Caenorhabditis elegans: one gene and its partner. The protein of the gene in region 2 interacts with the protein of the main gene of each other region in a pairwise test. Each region holds a gene or a part of one and is shown on either strand. Other genes may lie near its edges. The genes, in order: unc-96 and cpna-1.

Region 1 (4,849 bases), on a different chromosome or scaffold from region 2:
CACGCAAAAACAAAGGCTTTTTAAATGTTCACGTGGTGTCAGGATGTTCTTTCACGGTTTGATCTACAAAAATGCGAAAATTTTTTCGCCCAAAAAATGTGACGTCAGCACATTCTTTACCATGCGAAATCAGTTGAGAACCTTGCGTCTCAACTCCCGCATTTTTTTGTAGATCTATGTAGATCAAACCAAAATGAGATACTCTGACACCACGTGAATGCTGGAATAGCGCAGATAAGAAGCGAAAAAAACAGTTCTGCTTCTGAGTTTTTCATTTTTAAATTTCTGAAACGAGCAGTTTTTTTAAGTTTCGCATGTGATTGTTTAACTTAAACTAATTTTCTTAGGCTTGTTTTTTTACTTAAAACCAACTATGTGTTTAAAGCATCACATGAAAACATTATTTTGTACATTATTTCAAACATTTGGGGAAAAACAATATTTTTCAAATTATTAATGACTCTATCAAACATTGAAAAGTAATACATACATGATGAGGCGCAATTATAGAAATACATTTCTATGAGCTTAACGATTTCTTTAAAAACTATTAGAAAGGTTACCTTAATAATTTGCTTGTTTTCACTTTTTTTTTTGTATATTTCAGCAGTTTACAGTTAAATTTATCAGCGGTCTTTTAGACTTTGGAGCCTCCCACGTTATTTTTTTCGAATGAATGCACGTGCGTTCATAACAATTGGTTAGAATTGCATTTTTCTAAAAAATCTAAGATTTTTTCTATCATTTTTAACACTAGAAAGTTTATTCCGAGTCATGCCATTTACGAGAAAAAATCATCTTGTTCCGTTGTGAATGAAACCAATAAACATCTACTTCCAAAATTTTCCATTGATATACACAAATTATAATAGAATTTTCTCTAAAAAAATGTCACAGACTGAAACACTACATACAAGAAAATTTTTAAAAATTCCCAATTTGGCAACCGATTTTTTTCAAATTTTACAAGCTCTATAATTAGTCCTTGAACACCTAATATAATTGTCATGAGTAAATGTTTTACTATCAGTAATATCAAGCTGTGGAAGTTCAATAAATTGTATTTAGCAGTTACAGTCACTTATAGTGTTCTTGGAATAGTCCAAATTAAGTTTTCAGACATATCCTCCCTGTATCCAGTAGGTACATGACAGCCCGGAGAAAAATTAATTTAAAGTCAACACTGCTAACATGTTCAAAAACATGTGAAAAGAAGGACTAATGATTATGGTAGAAGTGGGAACATTTTTATTGCGATAGTTACGATCATCATTATGGTGTTACCACTGCGTAGAAAAGTTGGTCAAAAATACAAGATTCTAACGGTATTTTTCAATCATCTTTGCTTCACGGCAAAAATCACAGTTGAGGTAACTGAGAAGTGGAAATCTTTAATATTTTTATAAAGGTTAAAATTTAAAAAAAAAGAATAAACTAGGAATCAAAAAACAATACTTATAATTTTCACTGTCAACAATTTGCTACTGTAGCCTGAAGACGCATCTAGTTTTTTTAGCTCTCGTCACGATTTCAGTGATAATTCTTGCTAAAGGTGTCAAATTACACCGATTTGTTCTTTTGATAAAAAAATAAACATTTAAAATATGATTACTTTGGATTTTGACAAGTCCTAGTTGATCTCTTTTTCACCGCGTTCAAAACCAAAACATTAACAAATCTAATCAAACTCTGCGGGTCATTGTGTAATGTGTTGTTTCCGCCGTACACATATCTCACTCAGTTACACATCTGGCAGAAATCTTGCTCTCGGTCATTTTTGATAACTCTTACAATCTTGTTTTTGTTCTTGTTAGGTACTTTTTGAGTTACATTTGCTAACATAGTATTATAGGTTGCAGAACCATAATTCAGCGAAAATTTATTTAAAAGTAGTTGAAAATTCACACGCAGATGAAATTCACTTCAAGCAATAGATAAAAGTAGCTAAAACCATTTTTCAAGATAAATATGCATTAATAAAACCAAATTGATGAGTGAAAGCCTCAGCCGAAGCTTAAACCCGTGGAGGAAAAAACAATCAAAATATCTTTTATACACGGTATCGTAAACTTTTGAAATATAATGGGAGCTCACTACTTGAAAGAAAAAAGTTCACTAACCTCTCTGACGTCAGCCCGTAATCTGGACTTGGGCACGTTCTATCCAACAAATCTACGGCAACTGGAGCAACATTTGGGCTCAAAGAAGATTTGAGGTTGAGCAGAGATAACCCCTCTTCTATTAATGCTGATGAGGTTCCGGAAATTTTCTGGAAAATGGAGAGTATTCGGATTTATGCAATTACTAGAATTTCTAATTCTGTCATAAACTAAAGCGTGAAGATTTACCAATTTCAAATTAATTTTTGAGAGTTGCATCCAATATAATTTTTGTTGACGTTATTAGTCTTTTTTTTTTACAAAACTGCATAAACAGTTTTTTTTAAATCTCGTACTGCGAATTAATCAATTGATATCCTAATCTATCCAGATCCCAAACTACTTGTTTGTTTTAAGAAACATTGAGTATATTTAATAAGATGAGCGTTTTGTGATCATAGTCTACATTTTTTGTCTATTTTAATCCTCTATATTTTTTTCGGCATCACAGAAAAATTGTCTAGACATACACTACATTCTATATTATGCTCTTGTAAAATGTGATCAAAGATTCTCAGTTCATATGAAAGGGAGGTATTGACTTTTGAAAAACTATTTTCCAGTTCATACTTTTTTGTATTCCCTTAGACTTTAAATCAAAGTATTTGACATTCAAAAATCCCAACTGAAGAGAAACAATTTCAAAATTTTCAACTATCTTCAAAAATAGGCTAAAGCTTTTCGAAAAATGTACGGACTGGGTGCAAACCGATAAAATGTAAAATGCTGCCTAAACTCTCAAAAAACTCAAAACTTTCAAAGCATATACATATATATATATATTTCTCGTTTTTCACACCACCCTTCTCTTCTTACAGGAATCTCATTTTCCAATCCGCTGTCTGATCTCACAACTGATCGAACTTTGGGTTTCTCCGGATCCAGGTTGAGATTCACATCTTCAGTTTCACTCATTATCCAAGTCTTCTGGAAAGTAACAGCTCAGGGATGAGTAGAAAAAGATGAAAAAGTTGGCAAGAATGTATGAGACAGAAACTTTTCTGTTTGAGAAATTGAGTGGTGCTCAGGGGATTTGCTCACCGCCTTTTTGATTGGAATGTCAATGTCGCGCGAGAGTTTCAAGTTTTTTTCGGGATACAGGTAATGTTTTTATAGGGGTATCAGTGTTTTTGGCCCACAATATAAAAAACAAAAGTATTTCGCAATAGTTGGTTGGAGGCTTTTTCAATTAGAATTTGATGCATGTTTTCAAATATATACATGTAAGTTTTGAAGATTTAGAGAAATTAAACATACTTAGCAGAGCAAAATAAAAAAGTTAACAAAATCGAAAAATAAATTAATTAAAGCACCAACAAAAAAAAACAAAAATCCGAATACAAAAGATAAAAGAGTGGGGTGAATGTTGAGAGGTCTTCCCGTGAATAGAGGAGAAAAGTGTGCGTGCTCAGAGAGCCGGGAACGACTGCGCCTCTCTGATCACTGCACTCTCGCCCCCCCCCTCCCGACTACCTCCCGTCTTCTTGACGATCTCAACACAAAACCTGTGTAAAGCCAACGGGCGTATCTCCTCTCTTTCTCTCTTCCTTGTCCCTCGGCAAAAGAGCACTAGCTGCGATTCGATGATTTTTCTCAAACCCCCCCCCCCCCCCCCCCCCACAAATCGGGCCGGCGTCCTCGTGTTTCAGTTTGTGAAAAATGGTGCTGCCATCGGGTTACTGATTTTTTCAAGTTAAAGTATTGCAGTTTGTTTTACAATTATATGAATCTAATCAGGCTTGATCAGGCCGCTGAAATTTGAAACGGTAATTTCAGACAAATAATAGCCGTATGGGGGATGTGAAAATCTTCTAGAACAACTGCAGAATCTCAGTTGCGGCTACATGCTTGGGAGATAGCTTAACCTGAAATCTAAAAGGGCTTCTAAAATGTTCTAGCTGATGAAAAAAATCATTTACTGTACTTCAATTCTGTAGACTGAATTCGTTTTACTTTTTTCCCAGTTTTTAGATTAAGATAACTCCTAAGATTTATTGTCAATAACGTTTCTTGAAACAAACAAAACTAATTTTCTCTTGAAAAAAGGGAAAAAGGGTGACATTTAACGCCAGGTAGCTCTGAAAATTTGAATTATCAAAAAAGTAAACCTGAATCAGAATTAATCGAAAGATAATCAAAGCAACAGTGGCTCGTACAAAAAATGGCAATATAAAAGCAGTGAGGAAAAGACCGTCATTTCCGGAATCAAAGATAACTCTCAAAATTTCTGGAAAAAAATCTGTGTTGACTGAAATACTTATGATAAAGTTGATCAACAATTTTAGATTTTTCTTAATCATTCAAACTTCTTGGAAAATTGCCAAAGTGCTTTCGAAACCAGGAAAAAAAACACAAAATCAACATTATACTTGAAAAAACCACTATAGCTTAATTTTTGATTTTAATCTGGCGCGCAACTAAATTTTTGCCAGATCCCTCGAAAGATCAATAATTTGAAAGCATCAACACTTTCTCCCGTCAGATTTATTCTGGACTCGCCTTCATTTTTCACTTCAAATGGTTTCTTACGTAGTCACTTAAAAGCTCCCTATAATCTTGACTTGATTTTTGTTCCCAGTTTGATGAAATAAAAACATTTTATTAATTACTAATACGAAGAACATGATATAACTTTTTGGACATTTTGTTAGTTTTTGAATACAAGACTATTATTATTTAATTTTCAGGTT
Region 2 (5,129 bases):
TCTCACAATTCTAATCAATAATATTCTTTTCAGCTCTCTATTTCTCACAATTTTCCAAGCTCTTCGAAATATCCTCGTTTTCCTGCCAACTCCAGCCTACAGGCTGCTTAACATATGTTTTGGAACAGTGCCAGTTCTCATCACGTCAGTAGGTATGATAATTTTTTTGCCCGAAAATTCTAAACAACCCCCTAAATATTACAGCTCTCCCCTTTATTCTTTCAATATTTCTGCTAGTCTTCACAAAATTCTTCGACCGCCAGGACTGCTTCTGCTGGGTACGACCCGACTACATAGTGGCTGCAATTATCATTCCAGTAACTGTACTTTTACTGAGTACGGTAGTATGCACTAGTTTCATGATCTACAAAGTTTTTTGTGGAATGAAAAGGAAATTTAGTCAAGGGGTAAGTTCTTGCAAGGAAATCTAATAAGTCTGAAATAAAATTTCCAGGGTCACCACTACGATCCAAATGTGATCACGAAGATAGTATCCATAGTTGTAATGCAAATCTCACTAGGTCTTCCATGGATCCTTCAATTCGGAACCCTCTACTCCCCATACACCACCTTCTGGCACTACACCTTCACCATAGTCTTAGGGTCTCAGGGAACAATTTTACTGCTCATTTTCCTCTACAAGCGATATCGAGCTTGGCAAGCTGATAGTACGCTCAAGTCTCGAGGACAGAGCTACTCGAAGAACTCGACAAAACGAACGAAGCTGGTCGAAGAGGAGAACAGTTTAGGATCAAGTACAGATACTTTTAATGAATATTGACCTCAGTGTTTTTTGTGTATATAGGAAGTTATTATAAATAAAAAATATTTTTCTGAAAAAGTAACGTACTTGGTAATCGAAGTGACTTGTGGTGCAGGGACGTCAGCTCGTTTTGGAGCAGTTGGTGTCATTGGTCTAAAAATTTGAAAAATTAGCTTGGTAAAATGCATAGTAGGTACTTATTTGAGCGTGCCTGCCTGCCTGCTCACCTACCAGCTTACCTAGGCCTTCATACCAACCTTCAGCTCATTCTCGCTCAGTGTAGTTTTAACACAATTTTATCAATTTTATTAACCACGAAATGTAAAAAAAGAATCTAAATCTAATTTGGAACTAGGCGCATGTGTAGGCACTTGGTAGGCGTAGGTAGCCTTCAATGCAGGTAGGCAAATCAGAGCAGGCCTAGCATGCCTAACAGGTCGTATAAATATCTCGGAAAAGTTCCCAACATTGTTGCAAACTTGAACAATACTCTTATAGGCAGGCACGCCTTCAAGGCTACCTACCTACCTGCCTGCCTACCTAACTACGAAACTGTGTTTTAGGCATTCACTTTTTTTTGAAAAATTTCCAAATGCTTTGCTCATTTTTTGAACTTTCACTAAAATTTGAACCATAAAAATAGCCTAAAACTTACTGAATCTGTGCTGCTCCACTATGGCTCTCGTAGGAGATGTGAGAAGCTGGTGCAAAGTGATCATAGGCTTTTTGAGACGAATCCAAGTCTGTCGAATCACCTCCAACTTCATGATCCAAAAGCTTCTTCAGACGGTCAGCTTCGAGAAGGGCCTTCTCCTTTTCCCAGTCCTGAAGGGCTCGCTCGTCTCTGGAAATTGAATTTGCTCTTTGTAAATTGAAAACCCAAACTAAGATTAAAAAAAACTCACTGCTCACTGAGCCGCTTCTCCCTTCCCAGCTTCTTTGTTACTGGTTGGAATGCTCCTGAAGCTTGTTGCTCAGCGATCAGAGCTCCAGCCCCGGGAGACAGCTGAGAAATGTCCACGAACTGCTGCTGGTTGTAACGGGCTTGAGATGCTGGGGACAGTTGGGAGAAATCAAAGTATGGTTGCTGTGGATGTGTCTGGATTTGCAGTGGTGATGGTTGCTGGATTGGCTGGAAGACTCCCTGCTGTTGCAGTTGCTGATGAGCTAACTGAGCATGTTGAAGCTGTTGAAGTTGAGCTGGGGTCTTCTGTCCAAGCTGTCCAAGTTGCTCGGAGATCTGATTCATCCGCTGATGAGCTGGAGCATCGTAGATATCAAACTCGTGAAGCAGCTGCTGGTCAGTCGGAGATATCGGAACCGGTTGAACGATTTTGTGTTGGGGTACCGGAGGTGGTTGGTGTTGCTGAGCATAATATTGCTCGGCAGCTGTTTTGAGATGAGGTGGAACATGCTCAAAGTCGTGCCCGAATGCGGATTCTTCCGGTGCAATAGATGGAATTTGCTCGAATTGGGTGGAATCGCGGGATGTTGGAGACAGGTCCATGTTCTTTGTCTCGTGGAGGTGATTGTTGACGGAAGAGAGCACGGTGTCGAACTTCTCTCTGGTGGCGTCGATGGGGTGGCTGAAAATCTGAGATTTTTGACATGCCTATGTGATACCTATTTCGGGCTTTCCACACTTCTGCGTTGCAGCTATGCCTACTCCATACCTGCCTGCCTACGTGCCATTTTCATGCATGCCTCCCTATGTGCAACGTGCCTATACCTGACCCAGGTGTCTCTGCCTACGTGCATTTCTAATGAATATACGTGCCTATCATATTCCTGCTTGCCAACATGTCTAACTACGTGCCTACGCTTGACTTATGTTTGCCTGCCTAGTTCATGCCTACCTAACTACTTCAGGCCTGCCTATTCCATACCTGCTCCCTAATGCCGAAAATGTGATTCTTGTTCTCACACTTACCCTAAATTCAAATCCACCTCCAAGCTCGGGAACTTATTTGCAGCCTGCTCAGCGAACTGATGGACGTTATTTTGAACTGAGTGAGCTTGTTCTTTCAGATATTGGTCGGCTTCACGCATCAGCTCTTCAGCGCTTTCTGGGATGTGTTGCTGCTGAAATTCCTTTTTTTTCAAGATCTATTCTCAACACCTACCACTTGTTCTTTCACATCATGAAGCTTGTCACCGGCCTTGGCCAGGACGCTTTCTACCGAAGTTTGTGGCTCTTCCTTCTCGCCTGACTCCTTCTTATTCTTGTCATCGAGAAGTTTGAAGAAGTAGTAGACGAAGGCTATGGCGGCAAACGTGAGCATGTAGCGGGTGAAGCCGGAGAACACGAGAAAATGCTCCGGCTCCGGGCATTCCTCCCACTCGTCCGGGTCGTACCCGAGACGCGCGTCGAATACCATACCGACTCGCCTGGAAATGGAGAAATTGAGCTAATGGATAAAGGTGATCAAAAATTAAAACAATACAAATTTTTGATAGTTTAGAAGCAGCTGATGGAAGTTAGATGATCAAATAGATAAAAAAGAAACTGGAGAATTTCAGAAATTTGGAAATTTTTGAAGACTTTTTAAAAATCTTAAAAGAGTACCAAAATCTGAAATGTTACTTTTTTAGACACAAAAACCCAAAACTTCCGAATTTTGTTATGAGAAGTTCTGAAACTTTCTCAAAAAAATGGTATAAAGATTCAAAATTTTGGAAAAAGCTTTTTTCAATAGGCTAGTACGCTTTTTTGTGGCCTGCCTGCCTACTTGCCTGCCTATGCCTCTTTTCTGGACATGAGCTCTAGATCAATTTGTGTCTGCCCTAAAAATAATCAGTGAAAAAATAGCGAAATTTTTGAAAATCAACTTGTTCCAATTTTTCCAATTTTAAAGCTTCCTACTTGGAGCCAATTAATACAAAAATTATGAATATTCAAACAATTTTTCAACAAAATTCCAAAAAAAAGACGAAGATCTTTTGATCATTCAAAACCTTCAAAATTTGTGCTCTTTTCTTCAGCACAAAGAACTCTTTTTGTCATTTTTTTCTGCATTTTATACTTGAAAAGCCTTGCTCAAGTTACCAGCTTCCGTCCCCTTCTACAATGTAATGCAGTTGAGGGACGGGACGGGGGACACGGAAAAAATGGCTCTCAAGTCGCGACGATGAGGCAGAAAGCTGGCGGCTCTGCGATGGCAAAACTTGTGAAGAAGAGAAGAGGCAAAACAACAGTGAAAAGCCATGAACTCTTTTGCTGTCAACCAACTCTCTGTGATTTGGGTGGAGTGGTAGTAGTTGAAAGGGATACACAAAATGAGGAAGATATTAAATGGAAAATATTGAGGGAAGAAAAAAACAACATTTGTTGAGCGCCAAAAACATGCGGAACGGCGGTGTTCCAGTAGTTGAAAAAAATAGAATATTTGCAAAAATTGTAGAAAACTTTTGGGAGTTTCCCTTGGCAGGAAAATTGGGAAAATGTTTCAGACGAAAGTCCTGAAATCTTACAAATCCCAAAAATCATTGTTATCCTAACCTAAAAGCTACCGTTCGCAATGAGAACATTGTGCCAAATTTTGATGGCAATTACGTGGGTTGTCCCATTTCGGTTTGATCTACGTAGATCTACAAAAAATGCGGGAGTTGAGACGCAGAGATCTCAACTGAGTTCGCAAGGTTCAGAACTTGCTGACGTCACATTTTTGAGCATAAAATTCCCGCATTTTTTGTAGATCAAAGCGTAATGGGAAAACCTGAAACCACATGGGCAAGGTGTATTCACAGCCCTTTTAAGAACATAGCAAAACTAATGTTGGTTTGTACTAAAAAATATTTTCTGGGACGGTTTTTTTTAATTTTTCAAATAGTTCAGAAAACTTTCTAACAGAAAAAGTTCATCATATTAAAGTTGAAATTTCAAAACAAAAAACTATTTTTCAAAAATACTTTCACATCTAGCCGAATTGATATGGGAAATGAAAATATTTCAATTTGAAAAAAATACGTGCACTATTTTAAATATAGCTAAAAATATAGTTTATAAAAATGAAAATTTTTCTCTAACAAAAGTTATTAAAAAGTTACGAAATTCGAGAGAAAGTTTTTAAAAATCTTGAGCAAAAAAATGTTGCTTTCAGAATTTTGTATACCTTCCTAGAGATCTGGACAAAACCTAGGAAAAAAAGTAAATTTTCACCGTTTCAGAAAATATCTGAAGTTATGCTTTAAACTCTTCAAACTGGAAAAATAAATTAGGAAAAATTTCCAAATTTTCGTCAATCAATTGGCATTAATCCACTTTGAAAGATTATATCTTGATTACTTTTTAGATTATCAAAAACAGCTAAACTATAAAAATATAGTTCAAGGTTTGACACGTGGTTTCAGACTGTCCCATCACAGT

The links.
Region 1: the proteins of cpna-1 (region 2) and unc-96 interact in a two-hybrid assay, tested with the Caenorhabditis elegans proteins (one study listed by BioGRID).

What each region holds. Positions count from the first base shown.
Region 1 is NC_003284.9:618,205-623,053, forward strand, and holds the start of unc-96 (CRE-UNC-96 protein), read right to left. Parts: upstream 3,087-4,849; 5' UTR 3,075-3,086; coding exon 2,976-3,074; intron 2,270-2,975; coding exon 2,121-2,269; intron 1-2,120.
Region 2 is NC_003280.10:4,184,688-4,189,816, reverse strand, and holds the start of cpna-1 (Copine family protein 1), read right to left. Parts: upstream 3,142-5,129; coding exon 2,887-3,141; intron 2,846-2,886; coding exon 2,694-2,845; intron 2,350-2,693; coding exon 1,669-2,349; intron 1,608-1,668; coding exon 1,419-1,607; intron 917-1,418; coding exon 851-916; intron 842-850; exon of another isoform or gene 782-841; coding exon of another isoform or gene 455-781; intron 408-454; coding exon of another isoform or gene 205-407; intron 153-204; coding exon of another isoform or gene 34-152; intron 1-33. Other genes in the region: mth-2 (GPS domain-containing protein), read left to right, coding at 34-152, 205-407, 455-781. UniProt on the Caenorhabditis elegans protein: Involved in the assembly of dense bodies and M lines during body wall muscle development.